Anolis sagrei: one gene and its partner. The protein of the gene in region 2 binds, or shares a complex with, the protein of the main gene of each other region. Links are inferred from orthologs where the notes say so. Each region holds a gene or a part of one and is shown on either strand. Other genes may lie near its edges.

What was found.
Region 1: the proteins of GRK1 (region 2) and RCVRN are in contact, whole or in part, in an NMR structure (PDB 2I94), measured with the Bos taurus proteins. The link is inferred for Anolis sagrei from reciprocal best matches to the Homo sapiens genes GRK1 and RCVRN. Residues at the interface, in NP_776598.1 of Bos taurus: Phe3, Gly4, Leu6, Glu7, Val9, Val10, Ala11, Asn12, Ser13, Ala14, Phe15, Ile16; in NP_776590.1 of Bos taurus: Lys22, Trp31, Ser34, Phe35, Glu38, Cys39, Phe49, Ile52, Tyr53, Lys55, Phe56, Phe57, Tyr86, Leu90, Thr93, Ser94, Phe188, Glu189.

Annotation. Positions count from the first base shown.
Region 1 is NC_090026.1:18,713,701-18,726,973, reverse strand, and holds the start of RCVRN (recoverin), read right to left. Parts: upstream 5,196-13,273; 5' UTR 5,095-5,195; coding exon 4,714-5,094; intron 1-4,713. UniProt on the Homo sapiens protein: Acts as a calcium sensor and regulates phototransduction of cone and rod photoreceptor cells. Modulates light sensitivity of cone photoreceptor in dark and dim conditions.
Region 2 is NC_090026.1:5,171,592-5,184,265, reverse strand, and holds the start of GRK1 (rhodopsin kinase GRK1), read right to left. Parts: upstream 5,833-12,674; 5' UTR 5,622-5,832; intron 1-5,621. UniProt on the Homo sapiens protein: Retina-specific kinase involved in the signal turnoff via phosphorylation of rhodopsin (RHO), the G protein- coupled receptor that initiates the phototransduction cascade.

The DNA of each region.
Region 1 (13,273 bases), about 14 Mb from region 2:
GCTTCTCTCATGTCCCTGCATGGGGAGCTGGAGCTGACAGAGGGAGCTCATCCGCACTCTCCCCGGATTCAAATCTCCGACCTGTCAGTCTTCAGCCCTGCCAGCACAAGGGTTTAACTCACTGCACCACAGGGGGATCTATGTAATAATGTGATACCATCTTATTGCTGAATTGAAACACTAGGAAACTGCTCAATTCTGTTTCCCGCAAACACAAATCCTATACTGAATTCCAGGTCTTTATGCCTTTTTAATAGAGCAATTGGAAATGTGCTGAAATCTTGCTGAAGGGGGACATCCAGCAGTTCAGCATCACACATACAATTCACAATATTTCCCCACTCGTAGGCAAAACAAGGAGACAAAGTATATATTTGATATATAAACATACAGGGCAAATTGTTTTGCACATAAAGATCCCATCTGCAGAAAGTACCATATAATAGGATTCAATGGATAACACGTTGAGTATCGAATACAGGCACGAATGTTAAATCAATGTACAACACTGAGCAGTTGTGAATTATTTTTTAATGGAATTATTACTGACTTACCTTATAGGTTTCCTCGTACTGAACAGCACAATGTTATTAAACAGGGAAGTGTGATTTGGTGTGCTGTGTCGAAGGGATTTTATTCGGCTTTTTTCGTGTGTGTCAGGAGCGACTTGAGAAACTGCAAGTCGCTTCTGGTGTGAGAGAATTGGCTGTCTGCAAGGACGTTGCCCGGGGGACGCCCAGATGTTTGATGTTTTACCATCCTTGTGGGAGGCTTCTCTCATGTCCCCACATGGGGAGCTGGAGCTGACAGAGGGAGCTCATCCGTGATCTCCCCGGATTGGAATCTCTGACCCATCAGTCTTCAGTCCTACCGGCACAAGGGTTCAACCCATTGCGCCACTGGGAGCTCCTATTTTGGTCGGCTGAAATGCGGGATATATCAACTTAGTAGTATGTCGGGCGCATTTGAATCTCCTATAAGTTGTCCTTAACCAAAACAAGCTTCTCTAGTGCAAAGATTTCCATACATTTAATGTTTTCAGATACGCGTCATTTCGCGACACAGTAATTCAGTTTTACTAGCAAACTGGAAGATAAACCAGCCCCTTATAAATGGTAATAATGAAATGTATGGGGACACAACTTATCTCATGAAAACTTTCATTGATAGTTTGGAAAATCTTTAATGTATTGCTTATTTCACAATAGGGCTGCTGTAAGTTTTTCGGGCTGTATGGCCATGTTCCAGAAGCATTCTCTCCTCAGGAGAGAATGCTTCTGGAACATGGCCATACAGCCCGAAAAACTTACAGCAACCCAGTGATTCCGGCCATGAAAGCCTTCGATAATATATTTCACATAGACTCAGAGATCTCTAATTATCTTCGAGTGACACACCTACACACTGAAGCTGACACACAAACTTGTCACTATGCAGAGTTTGAAAATCTGTGGAAGAATTTGCCTTGTTTTGTTAAGGCTCAAAACTGGGCAAACTTCGGCCCTCCAGGTGTTTTGGACTTCAACTCCCACAATTCCTAACAGCCGGTAGGCTGTTAGGAATTGTGGGAGTTGAAGTCCAAAACACCTGGAGGGCTGAAGTTTGCCTATGCCTGGTGTAAAACCTTGTGTTCTTTCCCCATCTTTTGCTTTTGGTGTGCCAATTGCTTCCAAAAACCCTTTGCTCTGCTGCTGATGGGCAATGCCAAGGTGCTCAGTTGCGACAGGCACAACAGAAGAGTTTGGTGACAATTTGAAAACAAATAGTATATTGTGGCACAAACATTCGCGGACTAGAGAAACACTAATTCCCATGTATTGTTGGATGCCAGCTTTCAGAAACCCCATTAAAGGTACAGGACCTTTCTCCGGTTTTCGGTGCATCAAAGCTTAAGTCACACACGGAGACCAATGCTAAACCTAAGGGATTAACCCAGGTCTAATGCTGTCACCACTGGTTGTACATAATAATCCTTTCCTTAAAGGCCCAAGGAACCATCTCTGATGTGTATCAATAGGAACGTGGTATTTTAAAACAGGTAGTCCACAATCCTGAGCAGATTTTTATTGCCCAATTTGGATTTAAAAAGTGAGCGCTTCCCAGTTTTGTGTCAAGCAAGCGTGAGCAAACTTTGGTCCTCCAGCTGTTTTGGACTTCAACTCCCACGATTCCTAACAGCCTCAGGCCCTTTCCTTTTCCCCCTCAGCCGCTTAAGCGGCTGAGGGGGAAAAGGAAGGGGCCTGAGGCTGTTAGGAATTGTGGGAATTGAAGTCCAAAACATCTGAAGGGCTGAAGTTTGCCCATGCCTAGTGTAGCGAGAACCTATTCACACAACAGTATCAACCCTGTATCTGCGGGGAATACATTCCCAGACTTTGTGTGGACAGGCGAAACTGCAGGTAATAGCGAATCCCATTGAAATGAAGGACTTCTGGCCCAAGAGTACAATTAAGTTGTGCTGGAGGACCTAGAAAATACCTAGAGAGGACCTATTTTGTTGGACATGGTTACAGGTGTGTGTCTGTGTCTTAATGTACATAATTATAACATTATTCCACTTTAGCTTCCATGGTTCCATCATACCCAAAAACGTGTATTTTGGTGAGACACTAGCTGTGAACCTCCCTAAGTTCCCAATCATCCCCTTGTTTCATTTTACAGGAAAAGCTAAGATATTGGACATGGATAAACGAAACTGCAGCATCAGTCCTGCAGTTACATGTGTGTGCGCATGTGCGTGTGCACATGTGCGTTATTCCACTTTAGCTTCCATGGTTTCATCATACTCGAAAACTTATATTTTGGTGAGACACTGGCTGTGATTCCTCAATGTACCTCCCTAAGTTTCCAATCATCCTCTTGTTTCATTTTACAGGAATAGCTAAGCTATACTTTTTGGGCCCTGAAGCAGAAAATCCCACAAGATCCTCTCACCCTGCAGATAAATAAACTCACATAAGAAGTAGTAAACAACTGCTCTTTCGTGGCACTCATCTCCTGCAATTGCTTCACTCAGACTAAAGATAAATTCACCCTCAATACCAAAAACAATTTACTACCTCTGGTTGCAAAAGGAGACTTCTTTCACGTTCTCTACTACACAATTACGGCACTCTGATCCCACTTTAACTGCACTATCGGTGCAGAATCTTGGCCTACGTGGGAATGGTCTGTTTATGATCCCATCTTTTCAAGGTCAGAGAAGAGGAAGTTATTCCCCTGAAGATACAGTTGAAGCAAGGCGAATATTGCACGGAGTGGGTCAGGGATTTAATCCCACCTAATCCAACTTTAATCTCAGATTGCTCTATCTTCTCTTACATGGGGAGGGGGAAAGAGTCTAGAAGCTAGAAAAGTGGAGGAAGGTCAGCAACGGCAAGGATTTTTTGGACATGTACACAGAGCTCTGTTAAATCCACAAAGAGGCAAGTAAGGCCAAGTTTATGTGGCTACCGAAGACACCTTCCAACCGAATGCTGTCCTTTTCCATGTTTTGAGTCACTGTTGGATATATCAAGTCTTCCTGGGAAGGAATTTCAGAGCATTTGGAATAGCAACAGCCTAAATTTTGTCAATGAAGGTGTGTTGTCAAATAGGCCATGTAAACTGAACCAATCGTTTCAAGTCCTAAGTAATGATAGACTATGAAGTATGCCCATGTGACTCTTTAAATATTGTTAAAAAGCTCATACAATATTAGAATTTCCAAGTATCTTTGAGTGTGGTTTCAAACCAGTTTAAATTAGTAGCATAGAGCCGTACAGATTTGGATCTTTTAGAATATACTCTTTCAGAAAGATAGCAATACCTATCCTGCATAAAACATGGGCATTTGCTTCTTGCTGGGGACAGTTGAGGCCAGTGAGATATAATTAGCCATGGATTTAGAGCTGTTTACTGCTCTGTCAATCCCGTTCATCTCGTTAAATAGACGTAACAGGATTTCCCCCCCATAGGCCAAGGCTAATTCCATTGGGCAAAAGACAAAGCCTTTGACCAAGGTAATCCCTTGTCATCCCATCACGTCCAGGTGGACTGAGGGGGAGTCACGTGTCCAGTTCTTGCCCCTTCCGTCCTTCCCCTTTAATAAGTATGGCTCCAACATGTGACTATAGTTGGTAACCTATTGTCAATGGGATTTACCTGTAGAGTAAGACACTCTAGTTAAGACTAACCAAGAGGATTATAATTTTCTGTCCCATAGGAGAATGAACAATGGTTGGTAGGACTGAATTTGCTTCAAGCATAAGCAAGCTTGTGATGCAGCTCCATGAATGGGACTATATGTCTCTTTGAGAGATCTGGATATGAGCTAGCCACTTTCACTGGTTTCCATCTACTGAAATGGACTTGGGTTGAATATATTGCCATTCCAGCTGTAAGAAGACCTGATGTAAAGGGATATGCACCCCAAATCAACTACTACCCAGAGAAAAACATTAAACAACTCAACAGTTCAGTGGCTTCTTCAGTGAGTTATCCGCCAAGACACCAGACTTGGAGGACCATCATCCTCAGGCTACGAGGGATCGCGTAAGTAAGTAAGTATCCTCCAAACAGTCCTGTGCAAAAGATCCACAACAGTTAGCCTCATAAATGTAATTTAATCCACAGCACACTGTTGTGGGGAAGCTCTCAACTTGGATCTTTCCCGTGACCCTTTCCCCATGGCTCCCTGTCCCTCTCACCGCCCCACACATCCCCTTCACTTACTGCAACGATCTCAAGAACCTCATGTTTGCTGATCTCTCCATTGCGATCCACATCAAAGAGTGAGAAAGCCCATTCCAGCTTGAGGTTGGTCTTGCCGGTGGAGGTGAGATGGAGTGCAATGATGTACTCCCGGAAGTCTAGGGTCCCATCGTCGTTGGTGTCAAAGCTTCGGAAGACATGCCGGGCATAGACCTTGGGATCAGAGTTGGGGAAGAAGTTGCCGTAGATCTTTTCAAACTCAGCCCGGCTGATGCGCCCATCAGGACACTGCTTCTGGAAGCTCTCATACCATTTGCACAGCTCGTCTTCCGAATACTTGGTGTTCAGCTTCAGATCTTCCAGGATCTCTTTGGACAGAGCTCCGCTCTTGCTATTGCCCATGGTTTGGGTGTATGCTCACGCACCCCACGCCGCTTCACCAACAGTTCCTGGCTTGTCCTTCCTGCCTTGTTTCAACCTAGCCAGTGGAAGGCCTTGTGCCCAGGTCACCTTCTTATATAGACTCCCTGGGATGGATGTGGGTGGAGTCGGGACCCTGGAGTCCTCACTTTGCTACACCTGGTGGCCATGATGAGTCTGCATGTGTGCACACACATATTGTACACACAAAGGGAGAGAGATTGAGAGAGGGGGCTATTTTAGGTTGCGCTGATCACATTTGCTCCAAGCTCTTTAACGCCAGGGAAATCGGATTTGGGCTTTGCGGGCCTTCCTCGCTCCCTCCTTCCTTGTTGCCCTCCTGGCCTCTCTTCCCTTAACGTTGGGCACGGTTCCTCAACATGTGCCAGCCCTCAAAGTGGCTGGGCAAGGGGTGAGTGGGTGGGGAGAGCAAAATATCTATTGAAAAGAATGAAAACATGCCGATCACCCTATGAGGAGATGGCATATGTAGAGACGAGTGGACAGATGGCAACACAGTGGAAGCTAAAGCTATTGCTCTCTGACCCCAGGAATTGGTCTACCTTAAGCAGAAAAGCACCCTGTAGATTAATAGCACTTCTGGTAATAAACAACCACATGAAAAAAGCTGATAAGACATGCAGATCATGACAAAATAGCCAAAATCAACTACTTTTCCAAGTGCCACCAAGTGTCATAGGAGAGACGAAAAGTTGCAGTACTATGTAACGATACCTGAAAGTAACCTTTATTGGAAACAATAGGATTTAGACCTTCTGCCAGTCAACAACTGATTCAAAGGGTTTGGCTAAGTGAAACTAAACAACTACAACCCTACTTCATCACAAGAGGACCTAAACCAGGCATGGGCAAACTTTGGCCCTCCAGATGTTTTGGACGTCAACTCCCACAATTCCCAACAGCCTCAGGACCCTTCCTTCCCCCCCCCCCCCAGCCGCTTAAGCGAGTTGAAGTCCAAAACATCTGGAGGACCAAAGTTTGCCCATGCCTGACCTAAACAATAATCAGCATATGGATTCTGCTTCTCAGATACTACTTGTGGTGGTCCATGCCTCATAAAATCAAGAAACTTCCTTCCTTAGAAGCCATGTGCGTTCAATGCTCACATGGAAAGTTTGCCTCTGCCTTTGTGCTCCTTTGCCTTAAATACATTGGATGCATATCATTAATTATTCAAAGAAGGTATCCTTATATGGAAAAGACAAGAGAGACTCCTCCCATTGCATCCGTGAGCGTAGTAAGGAAGGAACTGCAAATGGGAGCAGGTGGGTTTAACCTGAGCTTGTAAATATTCTCATCTCACTGGCTCATCCTTTTTTCCCTAGTAATGGCAATGGGAAGGTGAGATGTGCAACACTGTACATACTTGCTCCAAATTTAGGCCTGAATTGGAAGTCTTGCCATTTTATTTATTTATCGTGTCAGAAGCAAATTGAGTTATAATGTATAGAAAAACCACAAACAAAGTTAAAAACTTAACATTATACTAAATTTCCTTTGACCAGAAGCTGGACACTTTGAGTGCCTATGGTGTCACTGTAAGAAGGTCCTCTATTGTGCATGTGGCAAGGCTCAAAGTGCATTGTAGTAAGTGGTTCTTGGTTTGCTCTCCTCCACATGTTGCAGACTCCACTTTGTAGCCCCATTCCTTAAGGCTGGCTCTGCATTTCGTGGTGCCAGAGCGCAGTCTGTTCAGCACCGTCCAAGTCTTGCAATAAGGAGAAAAGAAAGATTGCTTTTACATATAATTAAAAACATATAAAGAAGGGATCATAACAAGAAGGTGGATTTAATCTGAGATTATGAAAAAAAAAAAAAACGCCATCTGGCTGGCTCTCTTTCTTCTCCTGATTACAGTGGGTGCGTGTGGTATTGTGCTTTAACAGTGAAATCCTGTGCATGCTTACTCAGAATTATGAGCTGAATCCAATTCTGAGGGCCCTTTCACAGTTATAATACTTCAATTTTGTTAATGGGCATGGCTGCCATACCTCCCAACTGCCCCAATTTGGCAGTCATGATGCGTCCTCTGTTGTCTCACTTTTTTCAGCTACTCTGTTTTCTTCACTTTTTTCAGGGTGTCAGAGGGGTCACCAAAAACCATCAGAAAGCACAGTATTTTCTGTTGGTCATGGGGGTTCTGAGTGGGAAATTTGGGCCAATTATATTGCTGGTGGGGTTCAGAATGCTCTTTGATTGTAGGTTAAGTATAAATCCCAGCAACAACAGCTCCCAAATGTCAAGGTCTATTTTCCCCAAACTCCAACAGTGTTCACATTTGGGCATATTGAGTATTTGTGCCAAGTTTGGTCCAAATCCATCATTGTTTGAGTCCGCAGTGCTCTCTGGATGTAGATGAACTACAACTCCAAAACTCAAGGTCAATGCCCACCAAACCCTTCCAGTATTTTTTGTTGGTCATGGGAGTTCTGTGTGCCAAGTTTGGTTCAATTCCATTGCTGGTTGAGTTCAGAATGCTCTTTGATTGTAGGTGAACTATAAATCACAGCAACTACAACTCCCAAATGACAAAATCAATGCCCCCCAACCCCACCAGTATTCAAATTTGGGCGTATTGGATATTTGTGCCAAATTTGGTCCAGTGAATGAAAATACATGCTGCATATCAGATATTTACATTACGATTCATAACAGTAGCAAAGTTAAAGTTATGAAGTAGCAATGAAAATAATTGTATGGTTGTGAGTCACCACAACATGAGGAACTGTATTAAGGAGTCACAGCATTAGGAAGGTTGAAAACGATTGTAGTAAGGTAATGTTCAAGATCCTGCAAGGCAGACTCCAGCAATATATGGAGCGAGAGTTGCCAGATGTACAAGCTGGGTTTAGAAAAGGCAGGGGAATGAGAGATCAAATTGCCAACATCCGCTGGATAATGGAGAAAGACATCTATTTATGTTTTATTTACTATTCTAAAGCCTTTCACTATGTGGATCATAATAAATTGTGGCAAATTCTTGGTGGTATGGGGATACTAAGCCACCTTGTCTGTCTCCTGAGGAATCTGTATAATGACCAAGTAGCAACAGTAAGAACTGACCATGGAACAACAGACTGGTTCAAGATTGGGAAAGGAGTATGGCAGGGTACTCACCCAACCTATTCAACTGGTATGCAGAACACAGCATACTCCAGGAAATAATGCCTGGCTGCTCACTGGAGGGAAGGATGTTGGAGGCAAAGATGAAATACTTTGGCCACATAATGAGAACACAGGAAAGCTTGGAGAAGAGAGTGATGCTGGGGAAAAGGGAAGAGAAAAGGAAGAGGGGCTGACCAAAGGCAAGATGGATGGATGGTATCCTTGAAGTGACTGGCTTGACCTTGAAGGAACTGTGGGTAGCCATGGCCGACAGGGAGCTCTGCCATGGGCTGGTCCATGCGGTCAGGAAGAGTCAAAAGCGACTGAATGAATAAACAACAAAAAATCTTTTTGTTCTTCCTAATTTCCACCTTCATCCTCTGCTAGTTTAATTGATGCAAACTTAAGTTCATCTCGTCAAAGTAGTTTGCAACTCAGCAGAGGCGGTGAGAATATAGACTCAGGCAAAAGCGAACTGTTGGTTTTTTAGGCCTGTTCCTTGGATTATTTGGGGCTCTGATTCAGAAAATTCAATTAAATAGACCACAACAGCTTTAGTTTCCTAGATATGGTTATCATGATTTTCTATGGACAAGTAGATGATGATAGGAATAGGTCATATGTGTTGGAGCATGCAAGGAATCAGTCACTGTGTGTGTGTCAACTGTAAAATAAGATTCATTAAGCTGATTGGTCGGACAATGCCTGGGGAGCAGGCTGAGCCTGGGACTTTTGGTTACTGTTACATTTTTGTTCAGGCTTGAGCTATGCAAGTGCTCAGAGAGAAGCAAGGAGAGATAGAGTTTGGAGTGCGCTCTCGCTTTATGGGCTGCAGAAAGATTTTATCCATACGGCCAAAGAAATACAATTTTTAAATCTCTCATAAAAGGACATTATGTGAGTTGATGCAACTGATCACATTGTACATTTGTTGTTCTAAATTTACGAAGAGTAAACTACTTGTTCTTTAGTGTTCATCTGTGTGGGCATATTTTCTTTGTCTGGCAAGGCAGTGTGTGGGCTGATCAAATGTGAACTACATGTTGTTTATTTTACATTGTGCCACTATATGTTCTGTATCTCAAGAATTAGAGCTGATGGGGAGAAACAGGTGCCATTTTTGGAATCAGCAGGTAAGATACACACAAACTGGGCTAATATTTGAGACACCAAAATGCGTGTTGACCAGTGATAATCCTGGGTAGCGTTTCCTTTTACCTGCCTAGGGATGCATCTACATTGTGGAATTAATGCAGTTTTAAACCACTTCAACTGCCGTGGTTCAATACTATGGAATCATAGCAACTGTAGTTTGGTGAGGCATCAGCTTTCTCTAGTAGATATCATTAAAGACTGCAAACCAAAGCCTTGTCTCAGACTGGCTTTCATTGATTTCTCCATCTCTTTAGATCAAATTCGCCTCCTCAAAAGACCCCGGTATCTGAGTTCCCAGCCTCCTCTGCTCTAACCCATAGGTAGCACTATCTCTCTGAGGCTCTTACGTAGGTTCACCTACTGGTAGCTAATTGCATTGGGCCACCGCTAATTTGACTGTCCCTTGCTGCCCTTGGCCATATGCTCAATCCGCTTTGTCCATCCAGATCTGTTCGTAAAGCAGCATTAGTGTCAAAAGCATTAGTGTCAGGATTCAGTTGGTGTGTATGTTTGTGGAGGGGAGGGATCACCGCTGCACCTCGACTCCATGTGTTCAGGTAGGTGGCAAAAGTATCCTGCGTGGAAGGTCCCTCTCTTCCCCAACCTGATGCCATCCTGGTCGGGGATGTTGAGAGTTGTAGTCCAACACAACAGGGAAGCCGGAGTGATATAGAAACATAGAATCATAGAGTTGGAAGAGACCTCATGGGCCATCCAGTCCAACCCCCTTCCAAGAAGCAGGAAAATTGCATTCAAAGCTACCCCAACAGATGGCCATCCAGCCTCTGTTTAAAAGCTTCCAAAGAAGGAGCCTCTACTACACTCCGGGGCAGAGAGTTCCACTGCTGAACAGCTCTCACAGCTAGGAAATTCTTCCTCATGTTCAGATGGAATCTCCTTTCTTGTAGTTTGAAGCCATTGTTCCACATGTTCCATCATGTCTCCTCTCAGCCTGCTCTTCTTCAGGCTAAACATACCCAGCTCTTTAAGCTGCTCCTCATAGGGCTTGTTCTCCAGACCCTTGATCATTTTAGTCGCTGTCCTCTGGACACATTCCAGCTTGTCAATATCTCTCTTCAGCTGGGGTGCCCAGAGTTGGACACAGTATTCCAGGTGTGGTCTGACCAAGGCAGAAAAGAGGGGTCGCATGACTTCCCTGGATCTAGACACTAGACTCCTATTGATGCAGGCCAAAATCCCATTAGTTTTTTTGTGGCCGCATATGTCCCACTTTATAAGCTCCCTCTCACTTGTGGCACAAATGGTCAAAACAAACAAGCAAAAGGAAGCACCCTGACACCTATCCAAACGCTTGTGGCTTTGTTGTGAGTTGAGAAGGAGAAAAAGGAACTCTGATTCTAGATAAGGAGAAGTACTCATATATATCATATCTCTTCCTGTGTTTCGGATTAAGCAAAACACATGAAAAGGAACAAAGACACCAATTCCTGACCTGATCTCTTAAGCGGCTGAGGGAGAAAAGGAAAGGGCCTGAGGCTGTTAGGAATTGTGGGAGTTGAAGTCCAAAACACCTGGAGGGCCCAAGTTTGCCCAGGCCTGCTCTATCTGGATGCATCTAGACTGCAGAATGAGTGCAGTTTCATTACCACACGTTCATTACCACAGCTCAATGCAACCCGCAACCCATGATAACATATTCTTGGATGTTGGATCCTTTGCTTCCAAGGGTGCATCTACATAGCAGAATGAATGCAGTTTGGCAACACTTGAACTGCTCTGACTCAAGGCTATGGGAATCCTGAGACTTGTAGTTTGGAAAGGCATCAGCACTCTTTGGCAGAATAGGCTAAAGGGATTGCAAGACTAGAACTTCCAGGATTCCATATCCTTGAGCCCTGGCAGTTAAAATGGTGCCAAACCTCTTTCATTCTACCGTGTAGATGCATTATCTCTCTCCTTCAATCGCAAACATACATCTCCCATGTTACGCCAGCTCCACGGGCTACCAGTTTGCTACCGGGCACAATTCAAAGCCCTAAATGGCCCCGGCCCAATTTACCTGTCTGAACGTATCTCCCCCTATGAAACATCGTGGAGATTAAGATCCTCTGGGAAGGCTCTGCTTTCCATCCCGCCATTGTCACAGGTGCAATTGGCAGGGACGAGACACAGGGCCTTCTCAGTGAATGCCCCTCAGCTGTGGAACTCCCTTCCTGGTGAGATCAGATCGGCCCCCTCCCTCCTGTCCTTCAGAAGGATGGTAAAAACTTGGCTGTAAGACCAAGCTTTCGGGACAAGGCAATAAAGCAGCAATAGGAAAGATTACCAGGCCAGTTAGATTTGACGCTGATGACCAGGACAGTTTTAAATGGTGTATTTTAATATTGAGATAAATGTTTTTAATGTTTATGTACGCGTATATGAATTCTTGTCCCAGCACTGAATGTTTACCGTATATATGCTGTGCTCTGCTCTGAGTCCCCTTTGGGGTAAGAAGGGCAGAATATAAATGTTTTAAATAAATAAATAAATAAATACCTCTTGCCCAAGCATATATAATTGCAAACATACATCTCATGGATAAACAATACATAATTGCAAACATACATCTCATGCACAAACATACATAACTGCAAACATACATCTCATGGTCAAACATACATAATTGAAAACATACATCTCATGCACAAACATACATAACTGCAAACATACATCTCATGCACAAACATACATAATTGCAAACATACATCTCATGGTCAAACATGCATAATTACCAACATACATCTCATGCACAAACATACATAACTGCAAACATGCATTTCATGGCCAAACATACACAATTGCAAACATCCATCTCATGCACAAACATATATAATTGCAAACATAAATCTGCAAAAACATACATAATTGCAAACATACATCTCATGCAAATCTCTTGGGAAGAGAGGCGGACAAATGTCGGCGTGCTGGAAGAAGCAAAGACCACAAGTGAGGCTCCTGTGCCATCAACTCCACTTTAAAAGCTTCCAAAGAAGGAGCCTCTACCACACTCCAGGGCAGAGAGTTCCACTGCTGAACAGCTCTCACAGCTTTCGAAGAGGCACGAATGGAGACAACTGGCCATGTTGTCCGAATGCTGATCACCATCTCTCAAAGCAGCCACTAGACTCCCAACTCAAGAAAGGGAAACTTAATGTTGGTGGACAGGAAAAGAGATTTCAAGATGGGTTTAAAGCCAATGTTAAAAACTGTGGCATAGACACCGAGAACTGGGAAGCCCTGGCCCTTGAGTGCTCCAACTGGAGCTCAGCTGTGACCAGCAGTGCTGCAGATTTTGAAGAGGCACGAATGGAGGTAGAAACGTGCCAAGAGGAAGGCACATCAAGCCAACCCTGACTAGGACCGCCTTCCACCTGGCAACCGATGTCCTCAATGCAGGAAAACATGCTGATCAAGAATAGGGCTCCACAGCCACCTATGGACTCACCGCCAAGACACTACACTTGGAGGACCATCATCCTCGGGCTACGAGGGATCGTTTAAGTAAGTAAGTAAGTAAGTAAGTAAGGTGTCAAACTGCTTTCATTCTACCGTGTAGATGTATCATCTCGCTCCTTCAGTTGCAAACATACATTTCATGCACAAACACAAATTATCACCCGCTCACATTCACACAGATTCTCACATAAACACATAAAGTACACGCTTGACGTGCCTTATACCCACTCAGATTGCTTTTCAAATCTGCCTTCCTTGGCAAAGTCTCAGGCACAGAGATTATTCTCAGCACTTTCTGTCTGACTTTAATTGGAAAAGCTTGGAATTAGACCTGGGAAGCTTCTACGTCCAAAATATTTACTTGGTCGCTTCCATAGATCCCTGGCAAACTCTGCAAGTGAGACAGGCCTGGTTTAGATTA
Region 2 (12,674 bases):
GACTGGTGTATTGTGTTCCAAACCTTCGTCAGTCTGGATTCGAAAGTCCCACAGTATTTTTCCGTGTTTATTTTCCACTATCTTTGCGGGTTTATGATACCACCAATTCTGTACTGCTGGCAAGTGGTACTTGTGACATAAGTTCCAATGAATCATTTGGGCCACAGAGTTGTGCCTCTGTTTGTAGTCTGTCTCTCAAGATCCTGAACAGGACCGGGCCCAGGACGGAACCCTGCTGATGGTACTCCACTCCTCACTTCTTTCCAAGATGAAGGCAAAGCCTTGGTGAACACCCTCTGGTTTCGTTTACTTAACCAATTACAGATCCACCTAATTGTGGTTTTGCCAGGACCACAATCAAAGCACTCCTTATTATTATTTTCAGGTCAGGAGTGACTTGAGAAACTGCAAGTTGCTTCTGGTGTGAGAGAATTGGTCATCTCCAAGGATGTTGCCCAGGGGATGCCCGGATGTTTTGATATTTTACCATCCTTGTGGGAGGCTTCTCTCATGTCCCCGCATGGGGAGCTGGAGCTGACAGAGGGAGCTCATCCGCACTCTCCCTGGATTCAAACCTCTGACCTGTCAGTCTTCAATCTTGCCAGTACACGGGTTTAACCCACCATCGGGGGCTCCAATACTAACAACAACAACAATATCTCTTTGAGGAGGTTAAACCGCTGAGCTGCTGAACTTATTGTCTGAAAGGTTGGCAGTTCGAATCTGGGGAGTGGGGTGAGCTCCCGCTGTTAGGCCCAGCTTCTGCCAACCTAGCAGTTTGAAAGCATACAAATGTGAGTAGAGCAATAGGTACCACTGATAAAATCATGGCAGCCACATGATCTTGGAGGTTAAACTGCTGAGCTGCTGAACTTACTGTCTGAGAGGTTGGCGGTTCGAATCTGGGGTGGGGTGAGCTCCCGGTGTTAGGCCCAGCTTCTGCCAACCTAGCAGTTTGAAAGCATACAAATGTGAGTAAAGCAATGGGTACTGCTTATACTATCATGCCATCCACATAACCTTGGAGGCATCTATGGACAATGCCAGCTCTTCGGCTTAGGAAGCTGGAGCAGACAGAGGGAGCTCACCCGTGCTCTCCCTGGATTCGAACCTCTGACCTATCGGTCTTCAAGAGTTTAACCCATTGTGCCACTGGGGGCTCCTATCACTCCCAAAAGAGGAGACTCTACTGGACACTCTATCCTTTGCATGGACTTTTTCCAAACTAAGTGTCACCCATCCTATAGTTTCCAGGGCCAAGTGGGGTTTTGAACCCTGCAAGGAGAGTTGCATCCTCTTTTTTTCCCTCCCTTCTTTTTTCCAAAGCTTCCCAAATAGACAGGCTTGGACTCTAATTTCTCTCAAAGTTGGTGCAAAGAAGCAACATTTGGGTCTATTGCACTCTCAGAAAGCAAGGGTGACACTCTCTCAGCCTCCAAGGTAGGAAATTATTTTGGATGTGTGATGCTCCTTCTATATTGATCGCTGTGGTCAACTTATTTTCATGAAGTGATGAGCGGAGTGCCGCAGGGTTCCCCCCTGGGCCCGGTCCTGTTCAACATCTTTATTAATGACTTAGATGAAGGGTTAGAAGGCAGGATCATCAAGTTTGCAGACGACACCAAATTGGGAGGGATAGCCAATACTCCAGAGGACAGGAGCAGAATTCAAAACGATCTTGACAGATTAGAGAGATGATGGGCCAAAACTAACAAAATGAAGTTCAACAGTGACAAATGCAAGATACTCCACTTTGGCAGGAAAGACGAAATGCAAAGAGACAGAATGGGGGATGATGCCTGGCTCGAGAGCAGTACGTGTGAGAAAGATCTCGGAGTCCTCGTGGACAGGAAGTTAAACATGAGCCAACAATGTCATGTGGCGGCAAAAAAAGCCAATGGGATTTTGGCCTGCATCAATAGGAGCCTAGTGTCTAGATCTAGGGAAGTCATGCTCCCCATGCTCTATTCTGCTTTGGTTAGACCACACCTGGAATATTTTGTCCAATTCTGGGCACCACAATTCAAGAGAGATATTGACAAGCTGGAATGTGCCCACAGGAGGGCGACTAAAATGATCAAGGGTCTGGAGAACAAGCCCTATGAGGAGCGGCTTAAAGGGCTGGGCATGTTTAGCCTGAAGAAGAGAAGGCTGAGAGGAGATATGATAGCCATGTATAAATATGTGAGAGGAAGCCACAGGGAGGAGGGAGCAAGCTTGTTTTCTGCTTCCCTGGAGACTAGGACACGGAACAATGGCTTCAAACTACAAGAGAGGAGATTCCATCTGAACACGAGGAAGAACTTCCTGACTGTGAGAGCTGTTCAGCAGTGGAACTCTCTGCCCCGGAGTGTGGTGGAGGCTCCTTCTTTGGAAGCTTTTAAACAGAGGCTGGATGGCCATCTGTCAGGGGTGATTTGAATGCAAAATTCCTGCTTCTTGGCAGAATGGGGTTGGACTGGATGACCCATGAGTTCTCTTCCAACTCTTTGATTCTATGATTCTATGCTGGCAAAACATTACAGGTCCTGGTTTCTTCCATTGCTCAGAATAAAAATCACACCCTCATCCCTTTCAAGAAAGCGAACTTAATTTTATCCATTAATTCCCTATCAGCTTAAATACCGCACAGGGTGGCCTATATTGCATTAATCTCCTCCCTCCCTCCCTCCCTCCGCTGGCTCCTGGGGTCCTCAGGATACCTTAAATAAACCTTGAGGTGTATTTAAAACCACAAGCCCACAGGTACAGTTTAAAACACACTTTTTGAAATACCCCAAACTCTTAAGGAAGGAGCCAGTTGCATTATTTTCTCCATTGACACACACACACACACACACACACACACACAAGGGGTTGAAAGACAAGAGAAAGCCACCCTGTTCTGCGCTTTCCCAATTCTTCTCTTTCACGAGAATAATGAACATATATCAGTCATATTGCATAAATAATATTAATTAAATCATACCTCTAGGAGAGACTCCTTGAGGTCATCTAGACCAACCCCTCCTTTTTTACAAAAGTGGCCAGAAAGTCCATGGAAAGTGGAGACATCGGCTGCACACTTTGATGTGCTTCACCCAGTCTTTTCTACAACTCCCATTATTCCCACACCATGCATACTCTTAGAAGGGACCCCTTGAGGTCATCTAGACTAACCCCTCTTTTTTGCATAAGGGGCCAGAAAGTCCATGGAAAGTGGAGACATTTGCCGCACACTTTGATGTGCTTTGCCCAGTCTTTTCTACAACTCCCATCATTCCCACACCCAGCATACCATTAGAAGGGACCCCTTGAGGTCATCTAGACTAACCCCTCTTTTTTGCACAAGGGGCCAGAAAGTCCATGGAAAGCAGAGTCATTGGTTGCACACTTTGATGTGCTTTGTCCATTATTTTCTACAACTCCCATCATTCCCACTCCCAGCATACCATTAGAAGGGACCTCTTGAGGTCATCTAGACTAACCCCCTTTTTTGCACAAGGGGCCAGAAAGTCCATGGAAAGTGGAGACATCGGCTGCACACTTTGATGGGCTTTGCCCAGTCTTTTCTACAACTTCCATGATTCTCACACCATGCATACCCTTAGAAGGGACCCTTTGAGGTCATCTAGACTAACCCCTCTTTTTTGTACAAGGGGCCAGAAAGTCCATGGAAAGCAGTCATTGGTTGCACACTTGGATGCGCTTTGTCCATTATTTTCTACAACTCCCAGCATACCATTAGAAGGGACCCCTTGAAGTCATTTAGACTAACCCTTCTTTTTTGCACACGTGGCCAGAAAGTCCATGGAAAGTGGAGACATTGACTGCACACTTTGATGTGCTTCGCCCATTCTTTTCTACAACTCCCTTTCTTACACAAGTGGCCGGAAAGTCCGTGGAAAGCAGAGACATCAGCTGCATAGTTTGATGTACTTTGCCCAGTCTCTTCTACAACTCCCATCATTCCCACACCCAGCAAACCATTAGAAGGGACCCCTTGGGGTCATTTAGACCATCACCCTTTTTTGCACAAGTGGCCAGAAAGTCAGTGGAAAGCGGAGACATCAGCTGCATAGTTTGATGTGCTTTGCCCAGTCTTTTCTACAACTCCTATCAGTCCTACACCCAGCATACCATTAGAAGGGACTCCTTAAGGTCATCTAGACTAACCCCTCTTTTTTGCACAAGGGGCCAGAAAGTCAGTGGAAAGTGGAGACATAAGCTGCATGCTTTGAGATGCTTTGCCCAGTCTTTTCTACAACTTCCATCATTCCCACACCCAGCATATGATTAGAAGGGACCCCTTGAGGTCATCTAGACCAACCCCTCTTGTCTTGCACAAGGGGCCAGAAAGTCAGTGGAAAGCGGAGACATAAGCTGCACACTTTGAGGTGCTTTGCTCAGTCTTTTCTACAACTCCCATCATTACCATACACAGCACAACCATGGAGTTATAGATGATGGGACCTGCAGTCCTGCAAACACTCATATTTCCCTGGCACCTCTGAATATCCAAAGGCACCTCAAAACAACAACAACAATAATGTAAGCATAAAATACAAACACAGAAACCTTGACCATTGGGAGAAGGTGGTCAGAGAAAGTAACCAATTCCACTGCAATAATATTATATTTTCTCACTTTTTCACTCTACAATCTCGCTTTCCTTCAGTAATATGAGTAATAATGTTCCACTGTGTTGAAGATATTGCACTCAACTGTGTTTCATATCCAAATGCTCTCCATTTTCCCTCTCTTTCTGGACTTTGGGGCAAGAAGAAGCCACAATGGTACTAAGCTAGGTGGCTTATTCTTTCCAGGATTCCTAAGCCCTTGCGTGTGGGTTGCTAATTGGCTAATTTCCCATCTCTAACATGCTTTGCTATCACCCTCCATACTATTTGCAAGCACCACAAGGTCTTTGTCCTTGGTTTTTGAAACTTTTTTCCTTTCAAACAAAGAGGAGTTGTTATTATTATTATTATTATTATTATTATTATTATTATTATTATTATTATTATTATTTATACTCTGCTTTATCTCTCCTGCAGATGACTCAAAGGGTTTGCCTTGAACCAGACAGAAGGAGCCGTACTTGGCATAGACCATACCTAATAGCATTTAATCACCCCATGTATCAAACTTATCGCTCTCATGTTTACTTATAGATGTATCAATGCTCCGACTTGTGCCAAAAAGTCATGTGTCCCATCGCATTGTATACCACTTTTATTCCTTAGTCTCATCTTCAACGTTCCATGATGCACATTGAAAAACACTGAAAAGTTGCATGCCCAACCCATGCAACCCTTTGCTGTACTCCAATGCTCCCTTGTCTCCAAACTATCTCAAACTTTGATGCCCTAATTCCCCTTTGCCGTACTCCAATGCCCATTTCAAACCACAGAAAGTTCTCTCATTTCCAACCTACTACTTTAAACTCAACTTTGATGCCCTAATCCCAGTTTGCCAGACTCTGATGCCCATTTAAAACCATTTGGTTTGATTATGTATTCCATTGGCCGTATGTGGCCCATCCTTGGATTCACATTTGGCCTATCGATTTTCCCCATTCAACCAAAGTCAAACCCAACCATGTCTTGAAAGTGCGCCCAAATAAAATAGGAATCACTTACCGACTCAGATGTCAAAGAAAGGGGAAATTTGGCTCTGTTTGGGGTGCTCTCTTATGGCACCCCACCATTCAGGGTTTGGCAAGCGCCCGGCATCAAGTGTCAGGCTGCATCCGGGGAGAGAGCGACCAGTGATGGGATTTAGCAAAAGGGGGGTGGCACTGGACTTCAGCAATCCTTGGAGGCTAAGATTAGCTGCCCCACTGAAGCAAAGACTGGCATGGAAATGGACACGGAGGGAGGGAGGGAGGGTGGCCACGCAGCAGAACCTGTCAAAGGTGATTAAGGAAATCCGTCTGGCTTCGTCAAAGAGTCAAAGGGCAGTTGGAACCCGGCAGGCTGTGCGGAAATGTTCCCAAACACAGCCCTATGGGGTTGGTTGAAGGGGTGAGGAGGCCTCGGGGCTGGCTGACCCCTCTCTCTCCCAGGCCAGGAGTTTGGAAAATGTTTTCCTTGGGCCCAACCTAGAACCATAGAACTGTAAAGTTGGAAGAAACCCCAAAGGACATTCATTCCAACCCATAAGATAGATAGATAGATAGATAGATAGATAGATAGATAGATAGATAGTTCGATAGTTCGATAGATAGATCATAGTTGGAAGAGACCCTAAAGGACATTCAGTCCAACCCATAAGAAAGAAAGAGAGAGAGAGAGGATAGATCGTAGTTGGAAGAGGCCCCAAAGGACATTCATTCCAACCCATAAAATAGATAGATAGATAGATAGATAGATGATAGATAGATAGATAGATAGATAGATAGATAGATCATAGTTGGAAGAGACCCTAAAGGACATTCAGTCCAACCCATAAGAAAGAGAGAGAGAGAGAGAGAGAGAGGATAGATCGTAGTTGGAAGAGGCCCCAAAGGACATTAATTCCAACCCATAAAATAGATAGATAAATAGATAGATAGATCATAGTTGGAAGAGACCCTAATAGACATTCAGTTCAACCCATAAGGAAGAAAGAAAGAAAGAAAGAAAGAAAGAAAGGATAGATCGCAGTTGGAAGAGGCCCCAAAGGACATTCATTCCAACCCATAAGAAAAATAGATAGATAGATAGATAGATAGATGAACTGTAGATTTGCAAGAGACCCTAAAGTTCATCCAGTCTAACCCCTGACAGACAAACACAGATAGTGGAATGATGGAAGAGACATCCAGTCCAACCATTAAGATAGATAGATAGATAGATAGATAGATAGATAGATAGATAGATAGATAGGATAAGTGAATCGTGAAGTTGGAATAAACCCCAGAGAACATCCAGTCCAACTCATAAGATAGATGATAGATAGATAGATAGATAGATAGATAGATAGATAGATAGATAGATACTAGATAGATAGATAGATGAATCCTAGAGTTGGAAGAGACCCTAAAGAACATCCAGCTCTGAGTTGAGGTTGGACTGGATGACCTTTGGGGTTTTCATTTCAACTATGTATATCAGGCATGGTCAAACTTTGGCCTTTCAGGTGTTTTGGACTTCAACTCACACAATTCCTAACAGCTGGTAGGTTGCATTAGCCTGGTGTAGATGATACACACTCCATCCAACGGACCTGTGAGTAGCATCTATATAGTCCACCATCCCCACCTCTGTCCACCAGGGGGTGCTTGGACACCTTGCAATGGCTTCCCTAAAGCTGCCCTTGGCCCAAGCCATCATGGTTTGGGATGCTGAGCGCGGAAAAGGGACTGGAGGACGCATTTATTTGGCCTGGGCATCGGGCCCAGCCTGGAACCCTTCCAAGGACAAACACTCATCCTTCACAAAGGCAGATGGGCAACCTGGGAGCCTCGGCCTGGGGCCTGTAAGGTGCCTTCCACCAAGGACTCTCTTTTGGAGAGAAGCAAGAAGAACTGGGGGAATTATTAGGGGTGCATCTATACTGTAAAACAGGGTCCTCAAACTACAGCCTGCGGGCCATATCTGGCCCACCAAGGTTGTTTACCCGGCCCTAAACTTTAGATTTGCCGTTACCACCAGACTGTGAACAGACTGTGACTTGAAGGCACAACAACAACAAACAATAGTCCAACTCCCAACAGTCTGAGGGACTGTTGTGAACTGGGATTTGGAGTATAGGAAATGATGTGCTTAGAAGAGACTGAGCAGAGGACACCTTCTGACCCCAATTCCTTCCCCAAAGACTTTTAACCTTTGGGGTTAGTGGTTGCCGAGTTGGACTGTATTTATTTTGGAGTTTATTTAACCTGGGGAACTCTTGGGATGGTCAACCAATCGGGGCTTGTGGATGCTATAGTCCAAAAACATTTGGAAGGCCCATGAGTCCTTTGAGCAGGCATGGACAAACTTTGGCTCTCCAGGTATTCTGGATTTCAACTTTCACAATTGTGGGAGTTTAGGTTCAAAACACCTTGAGGGCTGAAGTTTGCCCATGCTCCCCTTAAAGGTAAATGAAGCAATCTCTGAAGCGATGGCAGAGATCTTCCTGATCCGAAACATTTGGGGCCAGGAGTGTTTTGCATTTCGGAATCCCTTTATTTGCATGAACTTACATATTGAGATCTCTTGGAGGCGGAACCCAAGTCCAAACACGATGTGCATTTGTGTTTCCCAGACATGTTGCACACCTCACCTGAAGGGAATCTTCATTAATTTTGCAGGTGATACAAAGTTTGTGGACACTGAGCCATTGGGAAGCAAAGGTGCCACTCTCTCAGCCACCCAGCAGGACTGGTTGGGATTTTGGAGTATTTCTGTTAAAGGAGACTCAACCTGTTTACCTGGAAGTATAGTCTATTCTATTCTGTAGACATCTAAGTGAGGTTAGGCTCAAGGTATTTTTGGGAAGCAGGTCAGAGGTAGCAAACCGGCACTAATTAACAAATTACTAATTAACTGGAGGCGGCGACATCCTGTGACGTTCCCTACAGACGTCAACCTGAATTCTGAAAGGGCTTATCATTGCCTGATAAACCATTGGGGATCGTTTTTGGTGATGGGGAATGCATCCGCACTGTAGGGTGAATGCAATCTGCATGCCTCGATGCTATGGGATCCTAGGAGTTCTGGTTTGACAAGGCTTTCCGCCTTCTCTGCCAAAGAGGGTCAATGCCTCACACAACTACAAATCCCATGATTCCATAGCATTCAAGCCAGGGACTACTCAAGTGGGGGTCACACTGCTTTCATGTACCAGCTTAGGTCCCATCTACACTGTTATATAATGCAGTTTAAACTTATATGAGTCTAATGGAGGCATGGCCAAACTTCCTCCCCCCAGCTGTTTTGGACTTCAACTCCCACAATTCCTAACAGCTAGTAGGCTGTTAGGGGTTATGGGAGTTAAAGTCCAATACACCTGGAGGGCCAAAGTTTGCGTATATGTTGGAATAAGACTCTGGAAACCTGGGTTCAAATCTCTCCTTGGCCACAGAAATGCATTGGTTGACTCTAGACGAGTTTCCCTCTCAGCCTCCGAGGAAGGCCAGGCAAATCTCCTTAAAAGAAATCTTGCCAAGAAAAATAAATGATGGGTTGCCTGTGAATCAGAAGGAACTTGGAGCCTCACAGTAGAAACCAATAGATAGGTGATAAATATATATATTGGGGGGGAGGGGATCATAGGGATAGATAGATAAATAGACAGATCAGAGGGATAGATAGATAGATAGATAGATAGATAGATAGATAGATAGGTCAGATAGATAGATAGATAGATACAGATAGATAGATAGATAGATAGATAGATAGATAGGTCAGATAGAGTGAGAGATCATAGAGATAGATTGATCGATCATAGGAATAGATTGATCGCTCTTAGGGATAGAGAGATCGTGAGATCGTAAGGATAGATGGATACAGAGAGAGAGATCAGAGAGATATCATAGGGATAGGTAAATAGATTGATTGATCAATCATAGGAATAGGTAGAAATATAGATAGCATATATGGATGGATGGATGGATGGATGGATGGATGGATGGATGGATGGATGGATGGATTGGTGGATGGATGGATGGATGGATGGATGGATGGATGGATGGATGGATGGATAGATAGATAGATAGATAGATAGATAGATAGATAGACAGGCAGGCAGGCAGGCAGATAGGTGTAATCTATATAAATAAAAATGTAATGTTCGTTTGTGGGATTAACAGAACTAAAAAACCACTGGATGAATTGACACAAAATTTGGACATAATACAATGACTAACCCAAAGAGTGACCATCACTCAAAAAAACAGATTTCATCATTTCGGAGTTGTAGTTGCTGGGATTTATAGTTAACCTATAATCAAAGAGTATTCTGAATTCCACCAACAATGGAATTGAACCAAACGTGACACACAGAACTCCCATGACTAACAGAAAACTCTAGAAGGGGTTGGTGGGCATTGACCTTGAGTTTGGGAGTTGTAGTTCACCTACCTCCAGAGAGCACTGTGGACTCAAGCAATGATGGATCTGGACCAAACTTGGCACGGATACTCCATATGTCCAAATATGAACACAGATGGAGTTTGGGGGAAATAGACCTTGACATTTGGGAGTTGTAGTTACTGAGATTTATGGTTCACCTACAATCAAAGAGCATTCTGAACTCAACCAATGACAGAATTGTGGCAAACTTCTCACACAGAACCCCCATGACCAACAGAAAATACTTAAGGCCATCCAGTCCAACTCCCTTCATCAGTGCAAGAAAACGGCATCAAAGCCCTCCTGACAAAGAGCCATCCAGCCATAGATAGAGATAGATAAGATTCACACACAGAGAGATAGACTATCATAGATTTGAAAGGGACCCCCTAAAGGAGGACAATGATATGTTGCCTGTTCCAGAGTAGGCAAACCAGACAATCTCCACATCAACACTGACAAAGAAACAGCAAGAAATATGGTTTACCCACAAGCATAAAGACATTACATATATTAGAAACCAACACTTTCTCATTACTTTATTTTCCAGATCTGGGCCACAGCAATGCCTGGCAGGGGACCGCTAGTCATAGGAATGGATAGAAAGATCAGAGAGAGAGAGAAAGAGAAAGAGAGAGAGAGAGAGAGAGAGAGAGAGAGAGAGAGAGATCATAGGGATAGATATAGATAGATAGATAGATAGATAGATAGATAGATAGATAGATAGATAGATAGATAGATAGATAGACAGACAGACATCATCATAGGGATGGATAGAAAGATCAGAGAGAGAGAGAGAGAGAGAGAGATCATAGGGATAGATAGAGATAGATAGATAGATAGATAGATAGATAGATAGACAGACAGACAGACAGACAGACATCATCATAGCGATGGATAGAAAGATCAGAGAGAGAGAGAGAGAGAGAGATCATTGAGATAGGTAGATTGATTGATCAATCGATCAACTGATAGGCAGGCAGGCAGACAGCTGATGAGGAGCCAGTGTGGTGTTATGATTTGATTGTTGGACTAAAATTCTGTGAGACCAGGGTTCAAATCCTTGAAAACCCACAGGGAAACCTTAGGCAAGTCACACTTTCTCGGCCTCCGAGGAGAGCAAAGAGGCCAAAACAACACTATTGCAATCTGACCCTGAAAGCCATTTCTGAGATGCTCTCCTTTCGTTTACTCTTTGACCGCTGGCCTTTTGGCTCCCTTTCCGGCTCCCAGACACGTTCGACTTTGATCCAAGCAGCTCCCTTCTCTCGGGATCTTCTTCATCCTTTCGGAAATGTTGCAACATCCACGCACTTATGGGGGCCGGAGTTGTTTGCTTTGGCTGGGGCCTGGAGGGAGAAGACGCAAAGAAGGATCAGGTGGAGAGGAAGTGAGAATGCTCTTCCAGGACCAGAAATATATATTTGTGTGTGTGTTTGGTGTTGATAACATATCTACATCTATATATGTTTTGCAGATGCTCCATTATTGTGTGATAGGCAAAGCTGCAGCAGGCTCTTATCAGACATGAAAAGAGGCAGAAGCAACTTCCAAAAGAAGTAAATGGTATTGTATATTATTGGCTGCTTTTGCATTCCCGGAATCGCTTTGGATGCCCCTTTTCTTGGGATGCCTAAATTGTATTTATCCAAAATTCAGTTCAAAGGATGGAATTCACTTACTTAAGGAGAATCCGGGGAGCAGAGTGACCTCCCGCTGCTAGCCCCAGCTTCTGCCAACCTAGCAGTTCGAAAACATGCAAATGTGACTAGATCAATAGGTACTGCTCCGGCGGGAAGGTAACGGCATGCCATGCAGTCATGCCAACCACATGACCTTGGTGGTGTCTGCGGACAACGCCAGCTCTTTGGCTTAAAAATGGAGATGACCACCATCCTCCAGAGTTGGACACAACTGGAGTTAATGTCAGGGGAAAATCTTTACCTAAGAAGATGAGAGAAGAAAGCTTTAAATTAAGCTTTCTTGCATCCAGCTAGATTGAGTATGTAAAGCAGAGTGGAGGGTGAGGTCTGGCACCATCAGGACAGGAAAGAGGAGGCTATGGATGCATCTATATTGCAGAATGAATGCAGCTTGGGACTAATTTAACTGTCATGTTTCAATGCTATAGAACAGGCTTGGGCAAACTTGGGCCCTCCAGGTGTTTTGGACTTCAACTCCCACAATTCCTAACATCCTACTGGCTGTTAGGAATTGTGGGAGTTGAAGTCCAAAACACCTGGAGGGCCGAAGTTTGCCCATGTCCGCTGTAGATACAGGTTAGACTAGATGGCCTTTGGGGGTCTCTTCTAACTCTAAGATTCTATATAAGGACATATTCTGGATTCAGATGGGATGGAGGAGAACGCAAGAGGGCCTCCCTTTGGTTATTTTCCTGCAACCGGGTGGCCACAATCTTGGATTCGAATTGCGACAGGGAAGGAGAGGCAGGTGTTGGGGAAAACAGGATTCCTCCTTTTGGGCGCCAACACTCTCCGGCTCTCGCTTCCTGGTTTCATGCGTGGGGTGAGTCATTTTCACAGATTTCCCAAGGAGGGAAGGATCTCTCCCGCCGCAAACAGGCACACTGTGGGGAATGTGGGTCAGCCCAGGTGGAAAGGAGCCTCTCTCCATGGAAAGGGCCCAAGGCATCAA